Linked DNA regions of Neodiprion lecontei. The protein of the gene in region 2 interacts with the protein of the main gene of each other region in a pairwise test. Links are inferred from orthologs where the notes say so. Each region holds a gene or a part of one and is shown on either strand. Other genes may lie near its edges.

Region 1 (9,046 bases), on a different chromosome or scaffold from region 2:
CAGTCCCAATACGCTGCGATCAACGCATCAAAAGTTACAGCCAAAAAACCGGAACCCGAATTTTCGACATTTTTCAGCAGGTGCTTTTTCGCTCGCCATTTCTCTCCTGTTGGTCCTACGCTCTTTTCGCTGCGATTTCTGAGTTCCTGAGGGTCCAATTGGTCGGTTAAAGATCGTTCAAATCGAATCTGAGACCAAAAGTTTTTTGCCAAAAAAAAAGTAAGGCTAACCCCTTTCCATTTTTGGAGAAAATTTTCGCGATTTTGAAAAGTGCTGGAATCAATTAATTGTAGCACTGATCGGACGTAATTTTGCGAGAGAAATCGATCGGGCGCAGTCCCAATACGCTGCGATCAACGCATCAAAAGTTACAGCCAAAAAACCGGAACCCGAATTTTCGACATTTTTCAGCAGGTGCTTTTTCGCTCGCCATTTCTCTCCTGTTGGTCCTACGCTCTTTTCGCTGCGATTTCTGAGTTCCTAAGGGTCCCATTGGTCGGACAAGGATCGTTTAAATCGAATCTGAGACCAAAAGTTTTTTGCCAAAAAAAAAAGTAAGGCTAACCCCTTTCCATTTTTGGCGAAAATTTTCGCGATTTTGAAGAGTGCTGGAATCAATCAATTGTAGCACTGATCGGACGTACTTTTGCGAGAGAAATCGATTGGGCGCAGTCCCAATACGCTGCGATCAACGCATCAAAAGTTACAGCAAAAAACCAGAACCTGAATTTTCGACATTTTTCAGCAGGTGCTTTTTCGCTCGCCATTTCTCTCCTGTTGGTCCTACGCTCTTTTCGCTGCGATTTCTGAGTTCCTGAGGGTCCAATTGGTCGGTTAAGGATCGTTTAAATCGAATCTGAGACCAAAAGTTTTTTGCCAAAAAAAAAAGTAAGGCTAACCCCTTTCCATTTTTGGCGAAAATTTTCGCGATTTTGAAAAGTGCTGGAATCAATCAATTGTAGCACTGATCGGACGTAATTTTGCGAGAGAAATCGATTGGGCGCAGTCCCAATACGCTGCGATCAACGCTTCAGAAGTTACAGCCAAAAAACCAGAACCTGAATTTTCGACATTTTTCAGCAGGTGCTTTTTCGCTCGCCATTTCTCTCCCGTTGGTCCTACGCTCTTTTCGCTGCGATTTCTGAGTTCCTGAGGGTCCAATTGGTCGGATAAGGATCGTTTGAATCGAATCTGAGACCAAAAGTTTTTTGCCAAAAAAAAAAGTAAGGCTAACCCCTTTCCATTTTTGGCGAAAATTTTCGCGATTTTGAAAAGTGCTGGAATCAATTAATTGTAGCACTGATCAGACGTAATTTTGCGAGAGAAATCGATTGGGCGCAGTCCCAATACGCTGCGATCAACGCATCAAAAGTTACAGCCAAAAAACCGGAACCCGAATTTTCGACATTTTTCAGCAGGTGCTTTTTCGCTCGCCATTTCTCTCCTGTTGGTCCTACGCTCTTTTCGCTGCGATTTCTGAGTTCCTAAGGGTCCCATTGGTCGGACAAGGATCGTTTAAATCGAATCTGAGACCAAAAGTTTTTTGCCAAATAAAAAAGTAAGGCTAACCCCTTTCCATTTTTGGCGAAAATTTTCGCGATTTTGAAAAGTGCTGGAATCAATTAATTGTAGCACAGATCGGACGTAATCTTGCGAGAGAAATCGATTGGGCGCAGTCCCAATACGCTGCGATCAACGCATCAAAAGTTACAGCCAAAAAACCAGAACCTGAATTTTCGACATTTTTCAGCAGGTGCTTTTTCGCTCGCCATTTCTCTCCTGTTGGTCCTACGCTCTTTTCGCTGCGATTTCTGAGTTCCTGAGGGCCCAATTGGTCGGACAAGGATCGTTTAAATCGAATCTGAGACCAAAAGTTTTTTGCCAAAAAAAAAGTAAGGCTAACCCCTCTGTATTTTTTGCGAAAATTTTGGCGATTTCCAAAAGAGCTGGAATAAATTCTTTCTGGCACTGTCCCGACGTAGTTCTGTGAGAGAAATCGATTGGGCGCAGTCCCAATACGCCGCGATCAACGCATCAAAAGTTACAGCCGAAAAATACGGAAATTCATGAGTACTTCTTTGGCTGTTCTATTTCCGTCACCGAGGTCCCAATTAGTCAAAACGAAATCCTACAAATAGCTCCGAGTCGAAAAAGTGTAGAGTTAAAAAATCGAAAATAAACAACGCTAAACCTCCCGACTAACACATCAAAAGATCTGGCTAGAACACAAAATCTGCACACGGCCATCAGAAAGGTGCGAAAGAAAATTCACAAATTTGTAGCTACGAAGTCTCAGCTTCTCATTCATTTTGTCCTAATTCTATTACAAGTGTTTACGTGTCAGTGTATAGTAATTTAACAACTTGCCACATAGTATCAAGATTATACTCCAAGTTTTGACTTGCGTAGAAGTCCGACGCACCTCTGCAGGATTGTAAACATTATGTATTGTATTGTATTGTTACTACTTTATGTATCTTGCATCGAAATAAATAAACATTGGATCCTTTCCATAATATATTTCTCTTTTGTTAGCTGTTGGTCCCACATCGATTTAAACGCCCTTTATGGAAACCTTAAGGTCTAATCAGTCTATGAACAGTCATACAAATAGACCCTAAGACAAACAGTCTTTTGTTTCAAAAATCACTAAAAAAAAGTGCATAAGGCCCTCTGGGTATTAGGGTAAAATTTTGACGATTCCGAATATCGCTACAATAAATTCTTTCATGCTATTGCATTCCATCAACCTAATTGCGCGAATGGAATTGAGTACGTACTCGACGAAAATCACGAGAGAAGTAAGGCTAACACCTTTTGATTTTTCATCGATTCATCTTTTACAGATTTTCAAAAATGCTGAAATTGATTCATTCGGACCCTATAACGATGTCATTTTCGAAAGGACTCTCGTGCGTACAGTCGTCTCATCTCGCTGTGAGCAGCGGACTAAAAGTTACGGCCGGAAAACATGAACTTTCTCTGTATTTTGTTTGTGTGTTCTCCACTATTGGTCTCACGATGTTCTCGATGTCTTTTTTTTATATTCCCGTCGGTGAATCACACGAAGTTTTCTCTGAGGATAGTATGAAAGACCATTAGATTAATTCTTTGTAACCACGGTCTTAACATTTGACCCGAGAGTGCGACATACTATATCACTATACTTATTTCATTTGTATTATACGCCGGGTATTTGCGAAAGAGGAGTATTGCACCTGCAGCGATATATAAAAAATTCTGTCAATATTGAGACATTTTGAATAAGGCTACAGTGCAATTATAGTATAAAGCAACGAAAAGTCGATTTTCAATTAAGGTGAGTATCGATCTTACATGCATATTTCTATCATGTAGCTATCGATTACATGCAGTCGGTGCAATGGTTGAAGTTTCATAGTTGACACGCTTGCGGTAACCTCTCGATGCTCGAAACATCATCACTTTCTATAAATTTACAGGTTTACATACTTTTTCTAAAAGACTTTAAATTCAAGGTGCTATTATTGAAACCTGATTGAAACTTAAAACACCATAACCTAACTTTTAGGAACAGAACGCGTCCACAATGCTTTAAGCCGCATGATTAACTGACGCATTTTAGGCTAGTACACATTTTTATCAGTATTACTTTTAGAATACTAATAGCGTGAAATATTCAGATTTTTTAGATCCCAGCCAATATGGATTTCCAAAATAGGCCAGGTGGTAAAACTGGGGGCGGAGGAGTGGCCTCCTGGTCAGAAAGTAATCGCGACCGAAGAGAGCGTCTTCGACAACTTGCTCTGGAAACAATTGATTTAAACAAGGATCCCTACTTTATGAAAAATCACTTGGGCTCATATGAATGCAAGCTTTGCTTGACGCTGCACAACAACGAAGGAAGTTACTTGGCGCACACACAGGGTAAAAAGCATCAGGCAAATCTAGCTAGAAGAGCTGCGAAGGAAGCTAAAGAAGCTCCGCAAACTCTTGCTCCTGAAAAACCGAGAGTTGAACCAAAAAAATTTGTCAAAATTGGTCGGCCTGGTTATAGGGTGACAAAACAGAGAGATCCAGAATCTGGTCAGCAAAGCTTACTTTTTCAAGTTGACTACCCAGAAGTTGCTGACAATGTGATACCACGACACAGATTTATGTCTGCATATGAACAACGAGTTGAACCCCCAGATCGTAAATGGCAATACCTGCTGTTTGCTGCCGAACCATACGAGACTATCGCGTTCAAGGTAACTTGCTTACAGCAATGGATTACGGAATGTTTCAGACAGATTTCCTTCTTTCTCATTTGAATAATATTTGCAATGTTTCATCATCAGGTTCCCAGCAGAGAAGTAGAGAAGGCTGAGGGCAAATTTTGGACACATTGGAATAAGGACACGAAACAATTCTTTCTTCAATTTGCATTCAAAAATGAAAAACCATCAATTGGTAAAATTCCACCTCCTCCCGTTCCACTTATACGGCCAGGGATGGGAGCACCTATGATGCCTGTTCCACCGCCACCAAAACCCCCAATGTTCAATCCAGTACCCCCGCCCCCTGCATTATTGGCTGGAATGCAAATTCCACCTCCACCACCTCATCTGAATTAAATAAAATTTAGTAGCTGTGTGGATAAAGCTGAATATTTTTATCTGTTCAATGGTCATTCATCCATCAAGTGTAAGTTGCACTATCACAGAATAGGACAGAGATTGGTTCTGAAGTTACGACAAAAATTTGAGGTTGGAAATGGAAGTGGTGTAGTCTACAGAGCTCCTATGTGTTCTAGTTTTCATGAATATTTCTTGTCATCTTCCTACAAAATGATGCTGCAGATGCAATATTAATATCATGGAAGAAGAATGTTTTCAAAAACCAATCTTGATTTTTTTTAACCAAGACAAAATGTGAGAGTGATCCGAACTTTCCAAAGGATTTCAGGTTGGAATATATTGTTTCAAGGTGTACTCCAATTGTAAACATGTCACCAATGCATCGATTTATAAGAGGTATTGCAAATGGTACTGATTCAATTGTGCTTCAGCAAGTCATTATTATACAAAATATTCATGAAATTCACGCGTTTGAATGTATCAAAATTTTATATTACAACAACGGTACAATGAAATGCAGGTTTCAATTACCTACCACGTATCATACGTGGTGGAATGTGTACACCCACAGCAATTGATTCTATCATTGACAACTTAAATTCTTCATCTAACGGCATTGTGACAAAATCAACCACCTTGAAAGTACATAGAGTAAATTGAGTTCACACCGGCGTCATACATCAGCAAAACTTGCTGTCACATTCGGCTACGCTAGTGTAATCCTGATTACAAGTATAGACTGTCTACCATATTTTATTATAGGTACATCTCATGATATCCGTAGTATAGTATAATATAAAAGCTTGAATAATTAAGTATCGTTATAACATGACCGATTATTACTGCTTATTCGTTAGTATAATTTTCTCCTTACAAGTTTTTCTCTCACACTAGGCATCATTGTTATTACTAGTATCATATATTCTTAATCACAGCTTAAATTATTAAATCACCAATGGAGTCATATAATTTACGAGGAAGAGAATTTGTTGATTACGAATGAAGTCATTGCTTGTGCAATTTTTTCACGACACTGCCTTTGCGTAATTGTAAATTTTGCAACAAATGGTATGGAATGTCCAGAATTACTTGACGTTTGTAACTTATGTTGAATTTACATTAAGTATGATGCACATATATATATATCTGTATACTCTCTATGATTGATCTTAACGATTTTGCATAAGCTGACAGCTGTTTTCATATTTTTACTAGCCCCATAACAAACTAATACAGCGTTTTATGATAATTTATCTGTGGAGAATTTTTCCATCATGTTACACTAATACAATCACCAATTGGAATGGAGTGTCAGTGCATCAAGTCTGATATATGAAGTGTACTAACAATAAATTTCATAATCCGTACAAACTAATGAGATGTGACTACATAGAATTAGATATACCTATAATGATTGCGAACTTTCAAAAATCGAACTCAAATGAAAACTTATATACTATTTGGAATTTTCAACACTACCACTACATTATATAAAAATAACAATCGACATAATAAAAAAATATTTTAGGTGCAAAATAAATGCTTGTTTCTTGAACCAGTTGTTTTACTTTGTTTCTTTTACTTATGTCGTGTTCTCTCTGTTTACGTTCTTTCGTACTAATAGTAGCTAAGGTAGATGTACCTGCAGCAGTATTCTTATGCTTATAATTTTGAAAGCAGTGCGACTTATCTACAGACTCTGCCATGAGGATTAATCTGATGCTCTCCTTAAATTTATAATCATTAAGTGCTCTTACTGATCAATTGTCTCAAATATAAAACGACAATCTATCTGCATGCTATACATATAATTTCTCTTGTAATGAACACCCGATTAGCCGCAGAGTATAGTTGGCTCTATTGTTAGTGCAAAACCGCACACTTCTAGTTGGGGAGGTTTAAATTAGTGCTGCATTCTGTACCCCGGGTCTGTTTTCATTATTTTCACAAGTATAGAATGCACAATATGTAGATCTGTATGTTTATGAGCAATGAATCTTATGTATATGGATGCTGATACTGCAAATTTTTTAATTTAATTTTCTCTACCAACAAAAGGAACAGTTTTGCAGTGCTAACAGTGCTCCATTTTATGTATCAAATAAGAGCTGCATTTTAATACGTCTATACGTAGGAGTTTACGCTCCTGCAATGTCATAGTAATATGTATCATACAGTAAATTATTAATATTTATGGTATGCCCTATGACACTTTGTCCCAAGGGTACATAGCGTACAATAGAATTAAATGTATCAGCATTCCATTGACGGCGAGCAGAATGGTTCGCATTAATTTTGCATTTCAAAATTAGTTGAAACATTGGTCAGTAAAGATTAGTTCAATCTATTTTGACATCAACCATGACTAAATACATGTCGGTAAAAAATCTGTAGCGTTGAATTTAGAATAAACTTTGCTAATTTGATTTCGACATATTAGAAATGCCATGGGCTGAATAAGATCTTTTCAGCATCTTCAGGCAACTTCGTATAGAGATTTTTACTCTTTCACACGATCTGATAATGAAATTTGGCATTACGACACGTGGTATATACATAAATGTGCGTACATATTTATATATATGCTTTTATATTCTGATATACCATTAACTCGGACAACTTTAAACTAGGGGTGCAACTTTGGAACAGCATGAAATTTTGCTACTTGTACTTCGGGTTTTGGCTGAAAATTCAAAATCCAAAAATTTCCCACTATCGCATAGTTGCACCCCCAGTTCCAAATTTAACCCCGTGTTCAGTAGGAGTCGAAGGTTTTGCACGATTGTCGAAACCATCTGACGAATGATCAATGAATGGTTATCTATCGATAACCCGTTTCTATCTGAGGCAGCGTAACCACTTTGGCAACATGGCTGCGCACCTCAGATAATCTCAAATAGATCCACTACTGTCCCCTGGAAAAACCATCATATTCTCGGCTCCGTAGGAAGGCGTTGGTGAACTTCGTGCATCCAGGGAGGCTCTGCTGGCCGAGCTGAAGCTACTGGAGCTCAAATCTTCGTAACTCGCTACAGATTGGCTACCTCCTGCAACACAGAAGACCTTTATTTGTAGGCACTTTATCACAAAATACAATTATTATTGAAGGAATTGGATGCTAGTAAAGTGATTTGAGAATCAGTGAAATAGCAAAGTTGTTTTCAAAAGTATAGCAGAAAACCGTGGGGTGGTAAAGAATGTAACACATCATATGGAGGATAACGACATTAAGACGAGTAATTGTGGTTCTAACGGTTTATTTTAATTTTTTTTTTTTTTTAGATTACTCGATCTGCTTCTTTTCTATGTCAATTACCAGTTCAAGAAACTTGTTACATTGGAACCTAGCTTGTGTCAAATGCTCGGGAAGACCATTCAGGGTGTCGGAAGAGCTCAATGACTTCATTGACTTTTTCTAGGTCCTTGGGTGACAGGGAACCTCAACCCGTTCGCTTCTAGCTGCAGTAAGTGATTGCAGCCTCAACTAGCAAAGCAGCAAACCGTCAGAGAAAGGGTACTGGGATAGGAAATGTATATTGACCATATTGCAATTGACACTAGCGGAGTTCTAACTCTATATTGAAATACATCATTTATTATTCACAGTGAAGAAATAATTTTGAAACTTTATTGCTTTACTGAAACTGTATCTTGCGTTTGTTAGTTCCTTGCTAACTTGTAGATCGAATAAGGTTTTATAGTTATACATCCAAACAATTACATAGTACAGATCCGCATGGGTAGTTACTATCAAATGTATTCGCGGGCTTGGTATGGGATCTTCGTAATATCCAGAAAAATATTTGACTTACACAAATAATCACAATAATAAATATTACTTTGTAAGTAATGGCATTTAACGTTAGGCCTGTTATATAATAAGATGACCCACAAGCATGGTGATATTGAGACTGGTGCTAGATAATTCAAAAGTCGATAAATAGTTCAATTTTTGTACTACTTTCGTGTATTCCAATTTCCAGTACATATTATTAGTTTCAAAATTTAGTAGGTTTCATGAACCTACTCGTGTGACGTTCATATAAGCTGATAGATTGTATAATATATTTTGCACACTAACTATCCAACTTATATTTTAATTCACTCAATATAAGAACAATTTCTACAATTAAGAACTAATTGTAAGCAAAAGCTATTGGACATGATAGTCTGACCTTTTCACACAAAATTCAACATATTGATGGTCCATGTAATACTTATGTTGTAGCATGCGATATCTTAAACTATATTAGAGCACAATACTCGTATAATATGATAATCGAGTGTATAGTCATACTATAAAATAAACTAGTAAGTCTACAATCTATGTTTACATCTGGGCGAATCCGTATGATGGGCAAAACAAAATCTGTTGCTTTTCCCACTTGAGTCTCAAGAGTGAATGCTTGATTGCCTATCCATGAATGTTGATGATTATTGGAGCATTC
Region 2 (8,157 bases):
GTTCTCGCCGACGTTTTCAATTCCCCTGTTTACGTCTCGGTGAGTCGATGTCTCATTCGAAACTGCGGTATAATAATTCGAAATTACTAAATTAATACAATTTTAGGAATTAGCTAATTCGGCGATGTTGGGAGGGGCTTATCAGGCGAAGCACGGATTGCTGCGTGGAGAAAAAACTTTTCTGGAAATAACAGCATCGTTACCCGAACCTCGGCTATTGTGTCAGCCGTACAAAGACGCGGAGTCTGTAAGTGACGCAAAGTTGTAAATAATATTACTTGTGCAAATAATCTTACACGGAAAATTTGAGTATTTAGTAACGCTGTTTTGCAATCATTTTCAGATATACAAGCCGATGATCGTTCGGTATAGAAAAATCGTCGCCGATCTGCTGAAGAAGGAATAGACTAAACCCAAACGAAATACCGAGAAATTTTTATGGACTTCTGCTGTTTAACATTCCGCCCTTTTATCGACAATACAAGTACCTCTGATTAGTTTTCTACTGCACTGACGATAGGGCTAGTTAATTAGAAGACTTTTATTTAATTTTAATTCGATGAATGACAATAGAAATTTTAGGCTCCTAAGCATTCTGGAAATGCTTTTGGTCTACTGCTTGTTTAAAAGTTTATTCCAATTTAATTAATCGATATCTCTTTATAGTCAATGGTTAGTGAAATTACATTTGAACGGCATCCAGGTGATATTTTATGTATGGATAATAATATAATTTACTCGAGGATAATTTTCATCTACTCGAATGGCAATAATATCGCTGCATAATATAATTTAACTTAGCGCATTCCATTTCCACTATAATATACAATAGGCATATTATATAATTTATGGTGAAGTAAGTAGGCGAAATAACGACAAAAGTTTCATCAAGTAATCCGACTGCAAACTTGTAACAGCTATGCTTTGTTTAGGCAAATTTGAGTACTTGAAGGCACAAAAAGACTACCTGGCTAAGATACAATCAGGAGAAAATTCAGAAATTTCGCTCTAAGTTGTTGAAGAATGAGGAGAAAAAAAATTATTTAACTTACACCCATGTGCCTAAATTCCATGTAAAGTACAAGTTTTAATAAAATATTATTCCCATGATGATTATTTATTCGATAAGAGGTTGGATAATTTAATCGGTTTACCTTTTCCTTAGAAAGAAAAGAAGTCACTAATATACGTAGTTTTAAGTTTGTTGCATATCCAGCGTATAAGTGAAATTAAAAATTCTCTTAGGGTAGGTCGATTGACTGACATTTTTATAATCAATTGCCGTAATTACCTGAAAAACTTTTACTTCTTCCTGCCACCGCGCTCCTTTGGTAAAAGGTTTATCACGTTACCCGAGGCTAAATTATAGTAACCGAGAGTGTTGTTGTCCTTGAAGAACATTCCCTGGAAAAAGAATGTTAAAGCACGATTTCAAAATGCGCACAAATGAATAAGGACAAGTGGTTTCCGATATATGTATGATAAATCGCAATAATCACCTCGTATTGAAGCTTTTGTTTCCCAGGCGGCATTCCAGTCTGTTCGTGAATGCTTGCCTTCATTGTAGCAATGGTATCGCTCAATTGCAGCGTGATGTTCAGAGTTTGTCCGTTCAACTTCCACTCAGCTTTCTCGGTCATCATAGGAACGGCGATATTGACTTGCACCGGACCCTGAACAGCGGATTACATTGTTAAAAATTATAGCTTGAACGTGGGATTGTTGCTTGAATAATCCTGCGAAACGAGAAAGCAAAACAATTAATAACACTTACCTTATTTCTAGCCAAGAACTGTTGCTCCGGTATCAAGGAATCTTCGGTACGCAATTTCTTTGCTTGCGGTTCTTCTTCCATTGGCTCGCCAGGATGCTTTATACCAATCTACAATTTTTTGAACGGACAAGTAGATACGTAACGAAACAAAGTCGGGAATATCACAAAAAGAATAACGATTTTACGGCTGCTGTGCGTGAAATTTTAGTAAATTAAAGTAAATCTTACCCCACTTGGTAACGGCGGCTGCATCGGGGGTGGCGTTGGCATGAACGGCGACATTGCTGGTGCTGCAATATTAGAAAACACAATGAAACCTTACGTGATGAAAAAATTTTATTACTGCAGAAAGACGAAGTGAAACTTACTCATTAAGGGGGGCGGCCGAATCGGCGGCATGGGTGCCATCATCATCATAGGTGGTTGAGGCATTATGGGTTGCGGAATACCCATCGTCGACATTCCAATCGAAGGGGGTGGTGGTTGAGCAGGAACCGGTACGGGTTTGGGCGCGGGTGGCTTTGGAGGAGCTTTCAGGGTCGCCTGAGGCTTGGAAGCCGCAGCCGCCATGTGGGAGAGTTCAGCAGCTCGAGTGGCGGGTTTAGGCCCGATTTTCTCCTTTTCCTCATCAGGCAGAAGGCCTTTAACCTTATGGATTTGATGTATTTGCTCTTCAAGTGTAATATTAGCGCGAGCGGCGCGCGTAGCGGCCTCAACGCTCGACGTGTGACCGTCCCACGTAACCTTGTCGTCTTTCTTCTTGTCCTCTTCACCGATCTTCTTACCAATAGCTGTCTCCTCATCTCCCACACCGAAAATATCCGTACGCCGCTCGGCCAGCTGCTTCAAACTTGCTTCTATCGCCGTACCAGGAGCGAATACGGTCTCTTGGGCCAGTTTGTCCAGGTGCTTATCACGCTGCTCCACCCAGCGAGGATCCAGCAGACCAATTCGCATGTGTTCTTGCACTTTGCTTGCTGGGATTCTCTCCCCAGTTATAGGAGATATCAAATACTCATCTGGCGCAGTGGGGCGAGTATTCTTCACGGAAGCTAGATATTAATTCGTTGGATTAGATGGCGGTGTACGATGTTGTCGACGAATAACCTAAACTCGAGACACTTCATCAGCTTACCATGTTGTTTCGGATCGTACCCCTTCTTGACGACGACATTGCCCGGGGTTGGAGGTAGCGGCGGTGGTTGCATGGTATCGCGGTGTCTCTGGTCTTTGCCTCTGTTTGAATCTCCAGGAGGCGAAACGTCGTCGTCATCACTGGAATCTTCCTCCATATCTTGGACCTGGAAAAACTGGTGTTACAATGTCTGATACTGCTGACATGCGATATTAGCGATTATCTCCTAATAATATAATGATAAGCACAAAAATAATTGCGAAATTCACATAAAATTCTCATGCATGGACAGAATTTTTTAATTCACAGTATTTCTTGACATTCACCTGGTTGTTATCTTTTGCTCTGTCTTTCTCACCCTCGCGAGAGTGGAGCTCTTCATCCCCGTCACTTTCAATCTGCATTTCCACCTCCTCTCCATCCTCAATGCGTTCCTGAAAGAAAAACTCACTCAGAACATGTCCTAATCCGGTGATACTAAATTAAAAACTTATTCAATCGTGTCGTGTGAAGTTGAATAGCATTTGAACAGTTTACGACTGAAAATCCACGCACCTGCATCAAAACACGAGCTCCAACCTCGTCCGGAGTTGTGGGAGCGGGGAAATTCCCAACTTCAAACTGTTGGTAGTCAACCGTTTCAACGACAACAAAATCATGCCAATCAATTTGAGCATAAGCAACTCTTTCACGCTCTAATTCCTCTTCCTCTTTGCGCCTCTGTGCCTCCTGATACTTGAGCCACTCTGCGCGATATTTCACTTGTTCTAATATCTTGTCCATGTTCGCGGCTTCATCTCGCAGCCGAGGAAGTAAATCTTTCGGAGGAATCAGCACCTGTTGCACAAATAAATGAAATACCAATTTCTATTCTATATGCATTTCTGTATTCGAACCGGGCTTACCTTTGTATACTGTTCAAGCAGCTTAGTGAAATATTGAAAGAGAGAGTGCTGAGGACGCAAAAAGTCAAATTGAAAATTCCTCTGCTCACGATTCATTAGATTGGTCAAAAATTGGCGCCCATTACGAGCTACAAACTGAGCTGTCAGTTTGACAATGTCTCTGTAAAATAATTGACAGTTTAAAATGGACCGGATGCAATACAAAATAAATTCAGTAAGAGTAAAATAAAAGTAAGCCTACAAATCTAGAGCGGAAATAGACGGGGGATCAGCAATGAATTCAAAATCAACTGGCGGATCCTTGGGTACGAACGGCTGTTCGACTTGCTTCAAAATTTCTTGTTGTTTCTGGTGGGCTGTGAGATTCACACCTTTACCAACGCCCAGACCGATGACAGGCTCCTGTGCCTTTCCCTCCTTGAATTCCTTAACTTTGTGCTGATAATAAGCATGATACGGATCGCCAAAGTTGAGGAAATTGAACTTTGGGTTGCCAAGCTCGTTTTGACGGATCCTCGACTCAAACTCTGGGCCATTTCTAGCAACAAAACTAGCCGTCTTATCAACGATATCTGATCAGCTGTGTAAGGAAATTGATACCTGAAAGATATTTCCGTGATGATTTGTTATTTTTACAACATCGACTTACGATTCGCTCTCGTTTACCCACTGGCTCTTTCAAAAGCGGTTCGATTGATTACTATCCTCCACCTGAAAGGTGCGCGTTACGATCAGTTACAAAGTTCTTACACATTTTAAGCAAATTTAGAAGAGCGGGTGATGAGTGAAAAAATGAAAAAACGTTGCTCGAAAATTCAGTTTCGATAAAGGATACTCCTAACCTCCGGGGGAGGGTATATGATGCCGACGATCGGCTGCGAGGACGGCGCGGCATCCTCGACTTCCGCTGGTTGGGGAGTTACTATTTCTTGAGCCGGCATTCTTTCCGTAGCTCTATTCGCAACTCGTTGTAACAATTATTCACTCGTCATTTAGAAGGGCAAAAATTCAACTAAACTCCGCAGCGAGAGGAACGTAAAGGCACACAAGAATCCGAAATCAGGGCGATATCCAGACTTCAAGGAACTCAATGGAACTACCATAGACTACTAAGAAACACCAAAAGGGTCCGGGTGTGCGAATAATTGAACAGCGAGCTAGCTGACATGATCTCTATTTGACTGTTGGTTGATCGTTACTCCACTAGGTTCGCATTGCGCCAACCCGTCAATGTATTCTTTGATATGCTGTCAGAGTTTCGTATCTACGGTTCCTTTTAAATACAGACTGCAGAGCGAATGTGCAGCAGCCGCATAACCTCAATATGAAATCATAAATTGATAATAATATAATTTATAAATACGTATGATCTGTGAAATAATCGTCACACATTTAACCTGTAAATATAGAGTGAGTGTCATTTATAACATCACCTGTTACTCTTAGTGTTATGTCACGTGTTATTGGGAACAGAGTAGGGCTAGTCCTTCTGCTTATATGCTATGGCATATTACATAAAGAATTATTCATTTTCCAGATTAATGGCAATGCTACAATTTGGCGGAACCATGTGTAACGTGGTAACTAGGTTCGCCCCTCGTACGATATGGAGGATTAATTCGCAGCAGTTGTTAACACTCAGCAGTTCCGCAGCCCCTGTTCCTGACATTGCTTCTATTGTTGACAAGGTTTGCTATCCATTGACAAAGTAATACACAAACTGGTAGCTTAGTTTTTATTCCCTGCTTAACTTGCCTTCAGCTGTCTTTTCCTAATTTTATTACATTTATTTCTATTATCGCCTACTGCACAAGTGTTCCTAATCCTTCTTGATCACTTGTCATTTACTGTCTCTTGAAATTCAGCAGCCCAAGAAACCAGTCCAACAGCAAACCAGTACAAAGCAGAGTAAACCGAAACTAAAGTCCGAAAACAAACTAGTCGAAGCGGCATTTGCCGCAATACTGAATGACACGAAAACAGTGGCCGATAGGTCTTCAAAATCCTCCATTAGAAAAGATATTTCTGAGGCTAATACCATCGACAAGTTATTAAGCATAGCAGGAAATGAGAAAATATCTCAAAGAGATGGTCTCAACATTATGTCTATTCTCTCCGAGTGGATTAATGCAAAGACAATCACTCCGGCAGACTTTGAGAAAGATCCGAGGTTCTTGTCGCTTTGCAAACAGCTTGCAGGACAGGCTGAACAATCGACAACATCCAAACCCCACGAACATGGTGATTTAAAAACTGTGCTCAGCCTTGCGGGAGATGATGAGGCAGCAAAACTCATTTCTACCCTATCTCTCGCTCAGATGACCCAGGTCAGCCCTAATTCGGTAAACATGCAAAGTTGTTTTCTTTTCCTAATACATTCTGTTCTTAGGTACTTACCACCTTGGCTCACAAGCGGAGAAGATCCCTACCCATATTGAGATCTTTGTCGTACCATATCTCTCGCAGCACTGAGAAAATGAATGTAAAAGAATGTGCTGACATTCTATTTTCATTGGCTGTGCTGAACTTTCCAGATGAGGTATGAAAACGAAATATTTTTTTCTGCTTATCATTACTTAAGACAAAATATCAAAGATCAACACTTTTCTGGCATGTACAAATATTGGGAAAAATGTGTAGGTACTGATGGAGAAAGTTAGCTCAGAATTAATCATACGTATTCCTGAGAATAATGGTACCGCTGTAATAGGCTCAGTCGTAACATCCTTGGGCTTTCTCCGATATAAAAATACCGAACTGTTGGATGCGTTATGCGAATGGATCTTGGCAGAGCCACGATCACTGAAGCCACAGTACATCACATCCCTGTTGTTAACTTTAGCCACTGTTCAACACATACCTTTCAACATGACAGAATTGCATAAGGTACCAAACTTACTTAGAATTGGTTTTCCTCTCTTTTCTTGTCTGCGAAGCTTTTTCAATTTTTATTACTGAATGGTCTAGGCATTCATAAAGCCATTGAAGGAGACTGATGTATCCGCTTCGGAAATATGGCTTGATGTTGTCTGGGCAACTGTAATTCTAGGAATAGCAGATCCTGTCCAAGTTGCTTGCACCTTGAACTCAGTTTTTATCCAAAAATTGACAGGTATCTCAAAATATATTTCTGAATTGAAGTGAAACTGGGTCGTGAATACCATTGATCCTTATCACGATTCTGGTTAAATTTCACAGACTTACAATGTCTGACGGTGCCAAGGAAGGTGAAGCTGCTCAACGTTAATGCTGCAGCCAAATTACTAATCCCAAATTATACGGGTAAGTTTGCAGTTGACTATGGGCCATCATTCTAAAATAATTGAAAATATATTTAATAAATGTATTTCGTTTATCGAGAGATCTGATTATGTGATTTAGGGCCATTTTTAAACGAAGACCTCAATTCGGATGAGACATTCATCAATAGACCCAAAGAAAAACAGCTCTATGTTACCTCCGTGCACGATACCCTTTCCAATCTATTCGCTTCATCAACTTGTCTGAAAATCAATGAGAACACCGGAATGGGCTTTATTATAGGTGAGCTATAATTAATTGGAATCATTGATAAGTTGATATAATTAGCTCATAACTTTTCTTTATGATTTATCATTCCGCAGATGCGGAATGCTATGTGGACGATAAATGCAATCCACTACCGATTGGTCAAGCGGCGAAACACAGTAATGCTACGAGGTAAGTGTGTAAAGTTTGTTAAGGAATGGGGTACCTATATACAAATGAATATGACGTTCGCTTATTATATCTTTGAAATCTATTTGTGAAAATTTTGAAAATTGCTGTTTTAGACTTGCGGTGATTAGCCTTTATTACAACGACTTTTGCCGAGGGGTCCAAGAGTGTGTGGGTTTATATTCGCTGATCATCCGACTACTACAAGCTAAGGGATACAAAGTAGTGCTTGTACCTTATACAGAATTTAATCCACAGGATAAATTAGTAACACGTGTTAAATACTTAAAGGAAAAAATACGGTTAACGGTTCAGTCGAGTAGTACCTAGGGTCAAATTTCATAATTTGTTACTATTAATCCGTGATTAAACAATTAACAAATTAATTGAAGGGGGGGGGGGGGGGGAATATGCGAATGGCACACCATTGTGAACGACAATTGAGCAAGTTTAACTTGACCCATTTCTCAAAAGGTCGATCAATGTTATGCCATTATTTTTTTCCTTACGAAACACAAAATTCTAGACGTGAAAATCGAAGAACTACTTTCGTAACAAAAACATAAATCGACGACGGTGAACTCGCAGACGGAAAAAGTGGTGTGCAAAAAAAAAAGAAAAAAAAAAAAATACGGTCCAAAAGGCAT

What was found. The genes of interacting proteins can lie anywhere in the genome.
Region 1: the proteins of splicing factor 3A subunit 1 (region 2) and splicing factor 3A subunit 2 interact in a two-hybrid assay, tested with the Caenorhabditis elegans proteins (2 studies listed by BioGRID). The link is inferred for Neodiprion lecontei from reciprocal best matches to the Caenorhabditis elegans genes prp-21 and repo-1.

The regions. Positions count from the first base shown.
Region 1 is NC_060265.1:2,960,914-2,969,959, forward strand, and holds splicing factor 3A subunit 2, read left to right. Parts: upstream 1-2,954; 5' UTR 2,955-3,319; intron 3,320-3,346; exon of another isoform or gene 3,347-3,497; intron 3,498-3,501; exon of another isoform or gene 3,502-3,604; intron 3,605-3,662; 5' UTR 3,663-3,683; coding exon 3,684-4,229; intron 4,230-4,319; coding exon 4,320-4,595; 3' UTR 4,596-6,153; downstream 6,154-9,046.
Region 2 is NC_060260.1:1,606,165-1,614,321, reverse strand, and holds the start of splicing factor 3A subunit 1, read right to left. Parts: upstream 4,951-8,157; 5' UTR 4,756-4,950; coding exon 4,650-4,755; intron 4,387-4,649; coding exon 4,056-4,386; intron 3,975-4,055; coding exon 3,815-3,974; intron 3,747-3,814; coding exon 3,465-3,746; intron 3,344-3,464; coding exon 3,236-3,343; intron 3,076-3,235; coding exon 2,910-3,075; intron 2,827-2,909; coding exon 2,143-2,826; intron 2,065-2,142; coding exon 2,003-2,064; intron 1,883-2,002; coding exon 1,775-1,882; intron 1,674-1,774; coding exon 1,500-1,673; intron 1,405-1,499; coding exon 1,303-1,404; 3' UTR 1,292-1,302; intron 1,126-1,291; exon of another isoform or gene 407-1,125; coding exon of another isoform or gene 344-406; intron 248-343; coding exon of another isoform or gene 107-247; intron 40-106; coding exon of another isoform or gene 1-39. Other genes in the region: xylulose kinase, read left to right, coding at 1-39, 107-247, 344-406; FAST kinase domain-containing protein 4, read left to right, coding at 5,356-5,502, 5,680-6,141, 6,204-6,353, 6,455-6,700, 6,782-6,926, 7,013-7,096, 7,196-7,357, 7,438-7,513 and 1 more.